Linked DNA regions of Schizosaccharomyces pombe. The main gene of each other region encodes a partner of the protein of the gene in region 2 in a complex. Each region holds a gene or a part of one and is shown on either strand. Other genes may lie near its edges. A codon is read from its position in the direction of its gene.

Region 1 (3,640 bases), on a different chromosome or scaffold from region 2:
ACCTGAACAGAGAAGATGTTCGCTCTTCTTTACATGCTACGAAAGCTTCAACTGCGTTGACAAGCGGCGAGGGTGTCTTCGCAGACGGATGCAATTTTGACTTATACAAAAAGATTGTGAGTAACAACGTAGAATCAGTTCTCGTTGAAATAATTCCACGCTTAACAGAAAAATACAAAGTGTCTTTCTTAGCTGGGGCATTGGATCTTCAAATTCTTTGGACCGGAACTCTTTTGGCATTGCAAAATACAACATGGAATGGATGGCAGGGATTCACTCAATCTCCTGGAAGTTTAGAGACAACTAATGGATTTACTTTGGATGAACGTAACTTAGCCTTTACATTGTCCAACTCGGTTGGGCACATGGCTCCATCTAAAGACCCTCAAATGGTTAGAGAATGGCTTGAAAATACGTTGCTTTATTAAAAGTTTAATATCGGAAAATTTAAAATACAAGTTTATTGACTTACCACTGATGTGGTATATCAATAAATAACTATCGTTTATGAAACTCGGAACGATAATTAGATCATATTTCCGCATGACTACAAGAAAAAAAGAATGGTGCTTGAATTAACAACTAAGATATGGTTGAATAGATAGAATTATTTATAAGATATACGTTTACGAATAATCGAATCGTTCCCAAAATAAGAAATAGATCAGCATACAGTTTTCATTGATTTTTCAAAGTTCAAATAAAAGAGCTAAATTGTTATAAAAGAGTATGAAAATAGCAAGGGGATATGGAAGATTGGTAAGCATACTAATGACTGTGTTCAGCGTTGGGATCTCCCATGAATTTTAATTTGTATACAGATCCGCATTCAGGACAACGGCGGAGTTTGTCTTTGTAGACAGTCATCCAAATTAAATTATGTGAACCAGAAGGACTACCAGTACAGCCAATATGACGGTAAGGATCAAGAGAAGTGACCATTATAGGATCCGTCAATGTGCCTTTACGAGAAGCATCCAACGGTTTCATATCAAATGCATCTCTCCCTGAAAGCTCTGATAAAAGTTCATATCGTTCCAAACCAGTGGCTTGCTCCAAATCAGTTGGAACCTCGCCGTCACGACCACCAGGTCCGATCAAATCAGAAGGTTCCTTAGCGTTGGCTAATTCTTGAGCGGCGGCTTTTACAACTAAAAGAATGTTAGTGAAGGAGATAAAAATTAAGCTAAAAAGCCCTAAAATGTATCGGCAGCACAAATTAACAAGTCATATCTACTAAGCGACTTAATAGATGAAATAGAAAGCGTTTTAAGAGAGTGGGCTATAGGCAACGTCGATTTTCATTCTTTTGATTACTTTTTAGGTCTGTAAAATATAGAAAAGAATGAATGGGCACACAAGCCTAACTTCCGATATATAATTAATAGCAAAACTGTACATCGGAGATCAAGAGTCAACGGAAGCTTTACTCCTATAGCCAGTACTAAACAAGCTTTAACCATTAAGCTGCTATGACAAACTTTACTAAGCTTTCAAAGGACTTACCGTTTTGCTCATTACGGCGGATTGAAGCAGAAACAAAGCCACGGTACAGAGAAACAGTACTCCTGACCGCTGCTCTTTGTCTGGAGACACGAAGCATAGAATTCATAAACATCTTAAAAGACAATTATTGATGATTTATAACCTGATAATGGGTGAGATGGGGTGTTGTGTAGTTTCCAACGTTGGTCCGGTATTGTGTAACGAAATTTGGTAGGACAGCAAGCTACAACAGAAAAAAAGATGAGAAGGTTAACAAAAAACGGAATTATTTCTTAAACAGTTACGAATAAGATGATAATGGGGAAGTTCCAATATTACTATTGCCTTAATTATATTGTATAAAAAACGAGTAGTATGAGATGTCCTTTTCTTGATTGACTATCGGTGCTCATAACTTGCTAAACATATCTGAGTGTTATAATTAAAGGGATCATTGCTATATTTCTACTGATTGTTTGTGTTTTTTAAGGTTCATGAGCTATACCCTGGAAGAAATTGACTTAAATTGTTTTGTTTACTCATTTCTTATACAACTCTTTATGAACTAGAGGTTTAATGTATCATGTTTGCCTCGGGAATATTAATTATTTTAAAAGCAATATGACCGAAAGAAATAAATTCCCTAGTGATGAACGATTTTCAGGTCGTTCATTTTCGATCTTGTCCTCTCAATTATTACAATCCGTTTGTTCTATTGTTTAAAGCAAACATGCATACATTCTCTGTATATTACTGACCACATTGTGTTAATCAATTAAATCTAATACGAAATACTATTTTTTAATACCTTTTCGTTGGTTCATTTAGTCGTTTCTTTTCATCTAGTTTATTCACATTAAATTTCATAGCTTTTCATAATAATTGTAAAAAACGTTGAGGTGTCTTTCTGCTATTTTGTAGCTAATTTACAGAGTTAACTATTGAGTCAACCAACTAAGTTGTTTATTTAGCAACTTCGAACATAACCCAAGCGATGAAAACCAAATTGATAAATATTTATGTAATAAAGAAAGAGGAAATATGTGAAGCTTTTATTAACTTCGTAGACGTTAAACTATTCCCAAATTTCCTTCTAATAACGAATATGTATTACGCAGTTCATTATTCCGCGATATTTAAATTGCCATAGTTTGGTGATAGTTGACGCGTTTGGCATCAACTTAGTAGCAATCCAGTGCTTATTCGGGACTCGAATATATCTTGAGAACACAAAGTCATATCTCTTAACTTCTTAAGTGTACTTTTTTATTAAGAGAGCTTTGAGGTCAACCTGTTTTCTCGAAGCTTAGGCTTAAGTGACTTCGTTCTTCTTCCATTCATAGTTTCGATACTTTAACAAGTTTTTTTTACAAAGGATCGTCAGACTTCTGTATCGATATTTTCCCCACTATGTCTGATGCTGAAGACAGCGATTCGATTGTAAATGAATTTGTAACGGCAATTGTTCGAGAATCCGATAAGTTTGCCAAAGTGCATTCTTATCCCATGCAGTATGGTACTGGAGGATATCGCGCTGAGTACGTTGATAAAAAAAGAAACTTACTTTTAGTTTAAATGGAAATTATTAACATTTTATTTATAGCGCTGAGCTGCTTTCGAGTGTTGCTTTTCGCACAGGCGTAATCGCCAGCTTTTTGTCAGCCAAATTGCATGGACAACCTGTTGGACGTAAGACACATACTTTTATTATTGCGAGATGATTCATTTACATATTGATATCCATCTTGTTCCTTTGTATTTCTTTGAGTTTACTTACTAACAATCTTAGTTATGGTGACTGCCTCGCACAACGCCTCTTCCGAAAACGGGTTAAAGATCGTAAACATTTTGAGTAGCCTGGATTCTAGCAAATGGGAAGCATACCTGGATCAAGTAGTAAATGCGGATTCCGCTGACGAATTAACGGTTTGTTTAACTTCAATTTTGAAAAAGGCAAAGATTATTCCCGGTTCTGAAGCTCGGGTGTTTGTTGGCTATGACTCAAGGTTTGTTTTACTTTTATTGTCGATATTAGATCACTTAATTTCTCCGCTTTTTTAAATCTTATGTCCAAGACTAACATCTAATACTTAGGTCTACTTCAGAAATCCTTGCGCAAGCTGTAATTGACGGTATTGTGGTCTGCAAAGCAAAG
Region 2 (2,953 bases):
AAATTTAGAACTACTAGTAAATATAATCAGATTATTAATAATATATTTGCTCATCCTAGATTTAAAGAATTTAGTAAAACTATTACTTTAGGTTTAAATTCAAATAATAATTTAAATAATCATTGGCTAGCTGGATTCTCAGATGCTGATGCTAGTTTTCAGATTAAAATTTTAAATAGGGACAAAAAAATAGAAGTTCGATTGAACTATCAAATAGATCAAAAAAAAGAGTATCTTTTGAGTTTAATTAAAGATAATTTAGGTGGTAATATAGGCTATCGAAAAAGTCAAGATACTTATTATTATGGTTCTACTAGTTTTGGTTCAGCTAAAAAAGTTATTAATTATTTTGATAATTATCATTTGCTATCTTCTAAATATATTAGCTATTTAAAATGAAGAAAAGCTTATCTTATTATTCAAGAAAATAAACATTTAACAGAATCAGGACTTTCTCAAATAAAAAAACCTCATCCCTATCGGAAGAATATTAATTAGATTTGTTGAGATTTAAAATAAAGTCCTAACAAGGGTATAAAGCTTTTGAGTGTTAAAAAGAATAAATCACCTTTTGGGTGATTTTTTTTCATTAACCAAAATTTATTGTTATATTTTAATTATGCCAGCTTTCGGTGTTGTTAGTCACATTATTCCTAGTTTAGCTCATAAACCTATTTTCGGTAAAGAAGGTATGCTTTGGGCTATGTTAAGTATTGCTTTATTAGGATTAATGGTATGGTCTCATCACTTATTCACAGTTGGTTTAGATGTTGATACTAGAGCTTATTTCAGTGCTGCAACTATGGTTATTGCAATTCCAACAGGTATTAAAATCTTCAGTTGGTTAGCTACTTTAACAGGTGGTGCAATACAATGGTCAAGAGTACCTATGTTATATGCTATTGGTTTCTTAATCTTATTCACAATTGGTGGATTAACAGGTGTTATATTAAGTAATTCAGTATTAGATATCGCTTTCCATGATACTTATTTCGTTGTAGCTCACTTCCATTACGTTCTGTCAATGGGTGCATTATTTGGTCTTTGTGGTGCATACTACTATTGGAGTCCAAAAATGTTTGGATTAATGTACAATGAAACTCTAGCTTCAATCCAATTCTGGATTTTATTCATAGGTGTTAATATTGTATTCGGTCCTCAACATTTCTTAGGATTAAATGGTATGCCTAGAAGAATACCAGATTATCCAGATGCATTTGTGGGATGGAATTTTGTATCAAGTATTGGTTCAGTAATTTCTATTCTTTCATTATTCCTATTTATGTATGTTATGTATGATCAATTTACATCAAATAGAGTGGTTAAAACAAATCCTTATTTAATCCCTAGCTATTTTGATGATAATGTAATCTTCGTAAATGAAAAATTAGGGGTAGCTCAATCAATAGAATGGTTACTACATTCACCAGTACACGAACACGCATTTAATACATTACCTACAAAAAGTATTTAATTTAAAATCTTAACCCCCCTTTTATTTTATAAACTTTATTCCAATTTAAAAATTGGAGAGGGAGATTGAAGGATAATTTAGCTATCCTATTCAAAATTGTATCTTTATAATTTTTTTATTCCTTATATGTGAGAGAACACTATTGAGATAAACTAATTTAGCTTAAACATGAATCTTTCTACTAAATTTCAAGGACATCCTTATCATATTGTAAGTGCGTCACCTTGGCCATTTTTCTTATCTGTAGTATTATTCTTTAACTGTTTAGCAGCTACATTATATTTACATGGATACAAACATTCATCAGTATTCTTTGGAATCAGTTTCTTAGGTTTATTAGCAACTATGTATTTATGGTTTAGAGATATGTCAACTGAAGCTAATATTCATGGTGCACATACAAAAGCAGTAACAAAAGGATTAAAAATAGGATTTATGTTATTCCTAATTTCTGAAACTTTCTTATTTGCTTCTATTTTCTGGGCTTTCTTCCATAGTTCATTATCACCTACTTTTGAATTAGGTGCAGTATGGCCACCAGTAGGAATAGCAGATAAAACAATAGATCCATTAGAAGTCCCTCTATTAAATACAGTAATTTTATTAACTTCTGGTGCTAGTTTAACTTATGCTCATTATTCATTAATTGCTAGAAATAGAGAAAATGCTTTAAAAGGTTTATATATGACTATCGCTTTATCATTCTTATTCTTAGGAGGTCAAGCTTATGAATACTGGAATGCTCCATTCACTATTTCAGATTCTGTTTATGGTGCTAGTTTCTATTTTGCTACTGGTCTTCATGGTATTCATATTATTGTTGGTACAATTCTACTTCTTGTTGCTACTTATAATATTTATACTTACCACTTAACTAATACTCATCATAATGGATTTGAATGTGGTATTTATTATTGGCATTTCTGTGATGTTGTTTGGTTATTCCTTTATTTAACTATTTATATTTGGGGTAGCTAAGGCTTACTTCAATTTTTCCCCCCTTTTTATATCTTATTTCTCTAAAATAGTCTGTATAGCTCAATGGTAGAGCATCTCACTTCTAATGAGTCGATCTAAGTTCGATTCTTAGTACAGATTCCACACCTAGAAGGTGTGTATTTTTTTTTTAGCTAATTTAACTCAATTGGTAGAGTGCGTACCTTGTAAGTACGAAGTTAGAGGTTCAATTCCTCTAATTAGCAATCCCTTTCCCATATTTTTGGTATAAGAGGATCTCAGATAGTATCTAACCTATCTTATCTTTTATTATCCAATATCCTTTTAATAAGATTTGGATCTTTTTTCCCAATTCCTTCAAATTTTTGACTATTTATCGATAATGATTGTTCAATTTAGAAGGGATAATTTCAAATTTAATTTTTATGAAAATTTTAAAATCTAATCCTTTTTTAGCTTTGGCTAATAATTATATGATTGATGCTCCTGAACCTTCAAATATTTCATACTTCTGGAATTTTG
Region 3 (3,191 bases), on a different chromosome or scaffold from region 2:
TAAAGGGGGGACGGTTAAAAAATGCTTTGAAAGTGAAATTAGAAAACATGTAGAGATGATAAATGATAGATAAAACTCGATTGGTCGATAATTTACGAGCGGCCCCATGAAAATCTGCTGGGCTTCTTGTCGTTATTGGCTTGAACATCATTAATCGACCATGGATTTGGAGCTGGAGCTGAAGCGGGATCTTTAAAGGGATTTTCAGGATCTCTAAACGGATTTTCAGGAGCCTGTTCTGCAGGCTTATTGCGCATAAACGGAAAGCGGAAGCCCGAGTTAGATTTCGGAACGGGAACGGGCTCACGAACAGTTGGGGCATAGGAAGACAGAGAACGACTATCGTTGCTAAAAGTAGGCTTCAATTTTGAGACAGAGCCTCCACGCTTGAGACCATCATCCTCGGAAATGGTATCGTACATAGGCTTTTCGGCAGAATAATCGCTGAATTTGGGAAGGTCTCCCTTGCGAGAAGAAGTAGAAAAGATATTGCTGCTGTTTTGCAAAGAGTACGGATTGTAACCCAAGCTGCCAGAGGTGGCGCGACGAAGATGCTTGGCCTGTAACCTTGTGGCTTGTCTGCGTGCAACAAGGAGTAAAAGCAAGACGATGAGTTGAATGCCGACATTGGCGAGCACAAGCCATGACGGCCATTGAATATGGGGGACAAAAGTGATGACACAGATAACGAAAGCAATGGCGGTGATAAAAATGTTAAAGAATGTTATGGTTCCAATGACATTGAAGAAGCCGGGAGAGCGGGCAATGGCACCAATGTGGGCGAATATAGTCATAATGGTGGATATGAGACAGATGCAGGCAGACACGGGAACAATCACCAAGCCGTAGGAAGCTCTTTGACGCACAATAACGGAGGTACGAAATCCGTCCTTTGCATGTTCATCAAGGTAATCCGAGTTGTAACCAACTAAAGGCTTGCTGCAATTTGAATTTAAGCAGTAACCGAAAACGCCAAATCTAACGTCTCCATACTTTCCTAAAGTAAGATTGTTTGCAAGAGGAGGAGTACATATAGCTAAGACGAAAAAGACAATGGCGATAACCAGTAAGATAAGGGAAGGAGTAGCACTACGAATCCGCATTTTTTAAAAAAAAGCGGAAAAGCTTTGGAGGGTGATTTGAGAGAGTAGTTTTTGAGCTTTTGCTAGCTACCAACAAAGTTCAACTTTGCACGGTTAGGATTTAAAGATTTCCTTTTTGTTCCTCTACAGCGAGAAACGATCAAAAAAGAGATGAAATCCGAGGGGAAGGCAGAAGTTGAGAAAGGGCAATTTGGTACGTAGCAATGAACGAAAAGGCTCTCAATTCGACTAAAAGTGTTTAAATTACCAATTCCTAATATGGAAAAAAGAAATAATTTGTCCTTGAAGTCGCTTTTATGTATTTGGCGGAAAGGCGATTTTTGGTGGTGAGATATGATGAGGTTTTTGTTGTTGGTTGTGGTTGAGTTAAACGTTGTTTGACTTCATTCCCCCTTTGCGCCACACTTCAGTAGTACGGTACGCTACGCAACTGAACGCTAAACATTGCTAAGGTAAATTTGTACCGAGGTAGAAGAATGCACACGGTGCGTTACTACAGTATATGGGTAGAATTACGAAGGTACGGGAGGAGCAGAATGTTCACAAGCAACAACTCCCATCTCCTTGAAAACATCGTAAAAAAGCGAATTTGTTAGTGTAATGAGCATGATGAATCGTAACATTGGCTTCCTATCCAGAACATTGAAGACGAGCGTTCCTAAGAGAGCGGGTTTGCTCAGCTTTCGAGCTTATAGTAACGAAGCAAAGGTGAACTGGCTTGAAGAGGTTCAAGCAGAAGAGGAGCATGCAAAGCGTAGCAGTGGTATGTGAATTGTGGGAATAGAAATTTATCTTACTAACGGGTTTATAGAATTCTGGAAGAAAGTGACTTATTAGTATGAACATGAGGAAGTGAAGAATTTGTGTGGTAGCTAACATTTGCCAGCATTGGTGGACCAGCATTGATATTGGCTAGTGCCAATGCGTATTATATTTGTACGTAAAAGTGTAATGTGAAGATTTGCAACGACTAACAAGAGATAGATTGCAAGCATCAAGAGCATGCCAAGCATGTTGAAGATACGGACCCTGGTTATAGGTATGAAGAAGATAGAGAAGAAATGAAAGGAAGGGACTAATGAATGGTTTAGCTTTGAAAATTTGCGCTTCAAAAAGTATCCATGGGGAGACGGTAGCAAGACACTTTTCTGGTAAGATGAGAATGAGAGAGAAGAGAGGAAAGAAGGGAGAGATTATGTTTGTATGAGACAAGGAAATTTACTAATGATATACAGGAATGATAAAGTCAATCATTTAAAGAAGGATGATGAATAGGCATAGCGTTCTTTAAGCCTTTTTGCACGACTCAATTAACCCCCATACCATGTAGCAAGCAAAGAAGAACGAATAAGGTGTTGGAGGGATGCATAACGGAAAGTGTGTTTTTAGCAATGCTAAAAGGTAATAGTGAGACCATACGGGTTTGTATTGCCAATAGCTGTTTTCTTATCAATAGTGACTTTCAGCATTGGATTCGTTATTTGTTTAGCGACGTACAGTGAATAATCATTGATTTCTGAAAAAGCAGAAAAGAGAGATGAGGTAGTTGAAGGAGGATATGGAGACAGTTGCATACTATGTAAACAAAATGAATAAGTGATGAGACTGAAAGTTGGCATGCGAAAAAGAGAACGAATATATATACAAATCATTAATATGCTACAAGTAGTTCACAGTCTGTTTCTATCCTTTTGACTTTTTTATTTTTACTGTTTAAAATTATATTTTGCATTAGTATATATGTAACATTAAGATTATAAGGAATTATTAATCTCAAGATAATAATGAGTTTTGTAGGAGTGTTTTTCAAGGAAGAAACGTATTCAAGGAAATGGAAAAGTGTTTACAAAGCTATAACATATTGTATTTGAAAAAAGTTTTATTTTGATTAACTGGGATCGTAACTAGAATGTGAAAATGTTTCTAGTGTAGAGACATAATATAATAAGAAAAGGACTTGAAAAATAGCGGATGCGAGCGTTACCTAACGAGAGTGGGCAACATGGTAAAAGGGAAAAGGAAGGAGAAGAAAAATGGTGCAGCGAGCAAATAATCCAAAGGCACCTAATATGACTATGAGTGGTAGCG

Evidence for each region. Proteins that work in one complex are often made in the same cells at the same time.
Region 1: the proteins of cox3 (region 2) and cox4 are in contact, whole or in part, in a cryo-EM structure (PDB 8C8Q), measured with the Schizosaccharomyces pombe proteins. Residues at the interface, in YP_011104931.1 of Schizosaccharomyces pombe: Leu3 (codon at 1,649), Ser4 (codon at 1,652), Thr5 (codon at 1,655), Lys6 (codon at 1,658), Phe7 (codon at 1,661), Gln8 (codon at 1,664), Gly9 (codon at 1,667), His10 (codon at 1,670), Pro11 (codon at 1,673), Ile73 (codon at 1,859), His74 (codon at 1,862), Gly75 (codon at 1,865), His77 (codon at 1,871), Thr78 (codon at 1,874), Lys79 (codon at 1,877), Leu159 (codon at 2,117), Arg162 (codon at 2,126), Arg164 (codon at 2,132), Tyr233 (codon at 2,339), His234 (codon at 2,342), Leu235 (codon at 2,345), Thr236 (codon at 2,348), Asn237 (codon at 2,351), Thr238 (codon at 2,354), His239 (codon at 2,357); in NP_593042.1 of Schizosaccharomyces pombe: Ala49 (codon at 1,119), Lys50 (codon at 1,116), Pro52 (codon at 1,110), Leu55 (codon at 1,101), Arg61 (codon at 1,083), Asp62 (codon at 1,080), Gly63 (codon at 1,077), Glu64 (codon at 1,074), Val65 (codon at 1,071), Pro66 (codon at 1,068), Thr67 (codon at 1,065), Asp68 (codon at 1,062), Glu70 (codon at 1,056), Gln71 (codon at 1,053), Thr73 (codon at 1,047), Gly74 (codon at 1,044), Leu75 (codon at 1,041), Glu76 (codon at 1,038), Tyr78 (codon at 1,032), Glu79 (codon at 1,029), Glu83 (codon at 1,017), Phe90 (codon at 996), Met92 (codon at 990), Asp157 (codon at 795).
Region 3: the proteins of cox3 (region 2) and cox13 are in contact, whole or in part, in a cryo-EM structure (PDB 8C8Q), measured with the Schizosaccharomyces pombe proteins. Residues at the interface, in YP_011104931.1 of Schizosaccharomyces pombe: Tyr38 (codon at 1,754), His40 (codon at 1,760), Glu117 (codon at 1,991), Pro124 (codon at 2,012), Val125 (codon at 2,015), Gly126 (codon at 2,018), Ile127 (codon at 2,021), Leu135 (codon at 2,045), Glu136 (codon at 2,048), Leu139 (codon at 2,057), Leu140 (codon at 2,060), Val143 (codon at 2,069), Ile144 (codon at 2,072), Thr147 (codon at 2,081), Ala150 (codon at 2,090), Ser151 (codon at 2,093), Thr153 (codon at 2,099), Tyr154 (codon at 2,102), Tyr157 (codon at 2,111), Ser158 (codon at 2,114), Ile160 (codon at 2,120), Ala161 (codon at 2,123), Arg162 (codon at 2,126), Met173 (codon at 2,159), Tyr189 (codon at 2,207), Trp190 (codon at 2,210), Ala192 (codon at 2,216), Pro193 (codon at 2,219), Phe194 (codon at 2,222), Thr195 (codon at 2,225); in NP_588417.1 of Schizosaccharomyces pombe: Glu46 (codon at 1,839), Glu47 (codon at 1,842), Ala50 (codon at 1,851), Lys51 (codon at 1,854), Ser53 (codon at 1,860), Ser54 (codon at 1,863), Trp57 (codon at 1,920), Lys58 (codon at 1,923), Thr61 (codon at 1,932), Tyr62 (codon at 1,935), Gly65 (codon at 1,994), Leu69 (codon at 2,006), Ala72 (codon at 2,015), Ser73 (codon at 2,018), Asn75 (codon at 2,024), Ala76 (codon at 2,027), Ile79 (codon at 2,036), Tyr80 (codon at 2,039), Tyr97 (codon at 2,138), Phe99 (codon at 2,196), Glu100 (codon at 2,199), Asn101 (codon at 2,202), Leu102 (codon at 2,205), Arg103 (codon at 2,208), Lys105 (codon at 2,214), Tyr107 (codon at 2,220), Pro108 (codon at 2,223), Trp109 (codon at 2,226), Thr115 (codon at 2,244), Phe117 (codon at 2,250).

The regions. Positions count from the first base shown.
Region 1 is NC_003424.3:709,279-712,918, reverse strand, and holds cox4 (cytochrome c oxidase subunit IV), read right to left. Parts: upstream 1,685-3,640; 5' UTR 1,619-1,684; coding exon 1,507-1,618; exon of another isoform or gene 1,201-1,506; intron 1,152-1,200; coding exon 769-1,151; 3' UTR 565-768; downstream 1-564. Other genes in the region: serine carboxypeptidase Sxa2, read left to right, coding at 1-428; SPOM_SPAC1296.01C (phosphoacetylglucosamine mutase), read left to right, coding at 2,896-3,023, 3,089-3,174, 3,275-3,491, 3,580-3,640. UniProt on the Schizosaccharomyces pombe protein: Component of the cytochrome c oxidase, the last enzyme in the mitochondrial electron transport chain which drives oxidative phosphorylation.
Region 2 is NC_088682.1:7,319-10,271, forward strand, and holds cox3 (cytochrome oxidase subunit 3), read left to right. Parts: upstream 1-1,642; coding exon 1,643-2,452; downstream 2,453-2,953. Other genes in the region: cox1 (cytochrome oxidase subunit 1), read left to right, coding at 607-1,474; cob (apocytochrome b), read left to right, coding at 2,857-2,953.
Region 3 is NC_003421.2:2,045,848-2,049,038, reverse strand, and holds cox13 (cytochrome c oxidase subunit VIa), read left to right. Parts: upstream 1-1,651; 5' UTR 1,652-1,703; coding exon 1,704-1,866; intron 1,867-1,914; coding exon 1,915-1,939; intron 1,940-1,989; coding exon 1,990-2,039; intron 2,040-2,087; coding exon 2,088-2,142; intron 2,143-2,194; coding exon 2,195-2,254; intron 2,255-2,338; coding exon 2,339-2,378; 3' UTR 2,379-2,627; downstream 2,628-3,191. Other genes in the region: protein mug33, read right to left, coding at 93-1,103. UniProt on the Schizosaccharomyces pombe protein: Component of the cytochrome c oxidase, the last enzyme in the mitochondrial electron transport chain which drives oxidative phosphorylation.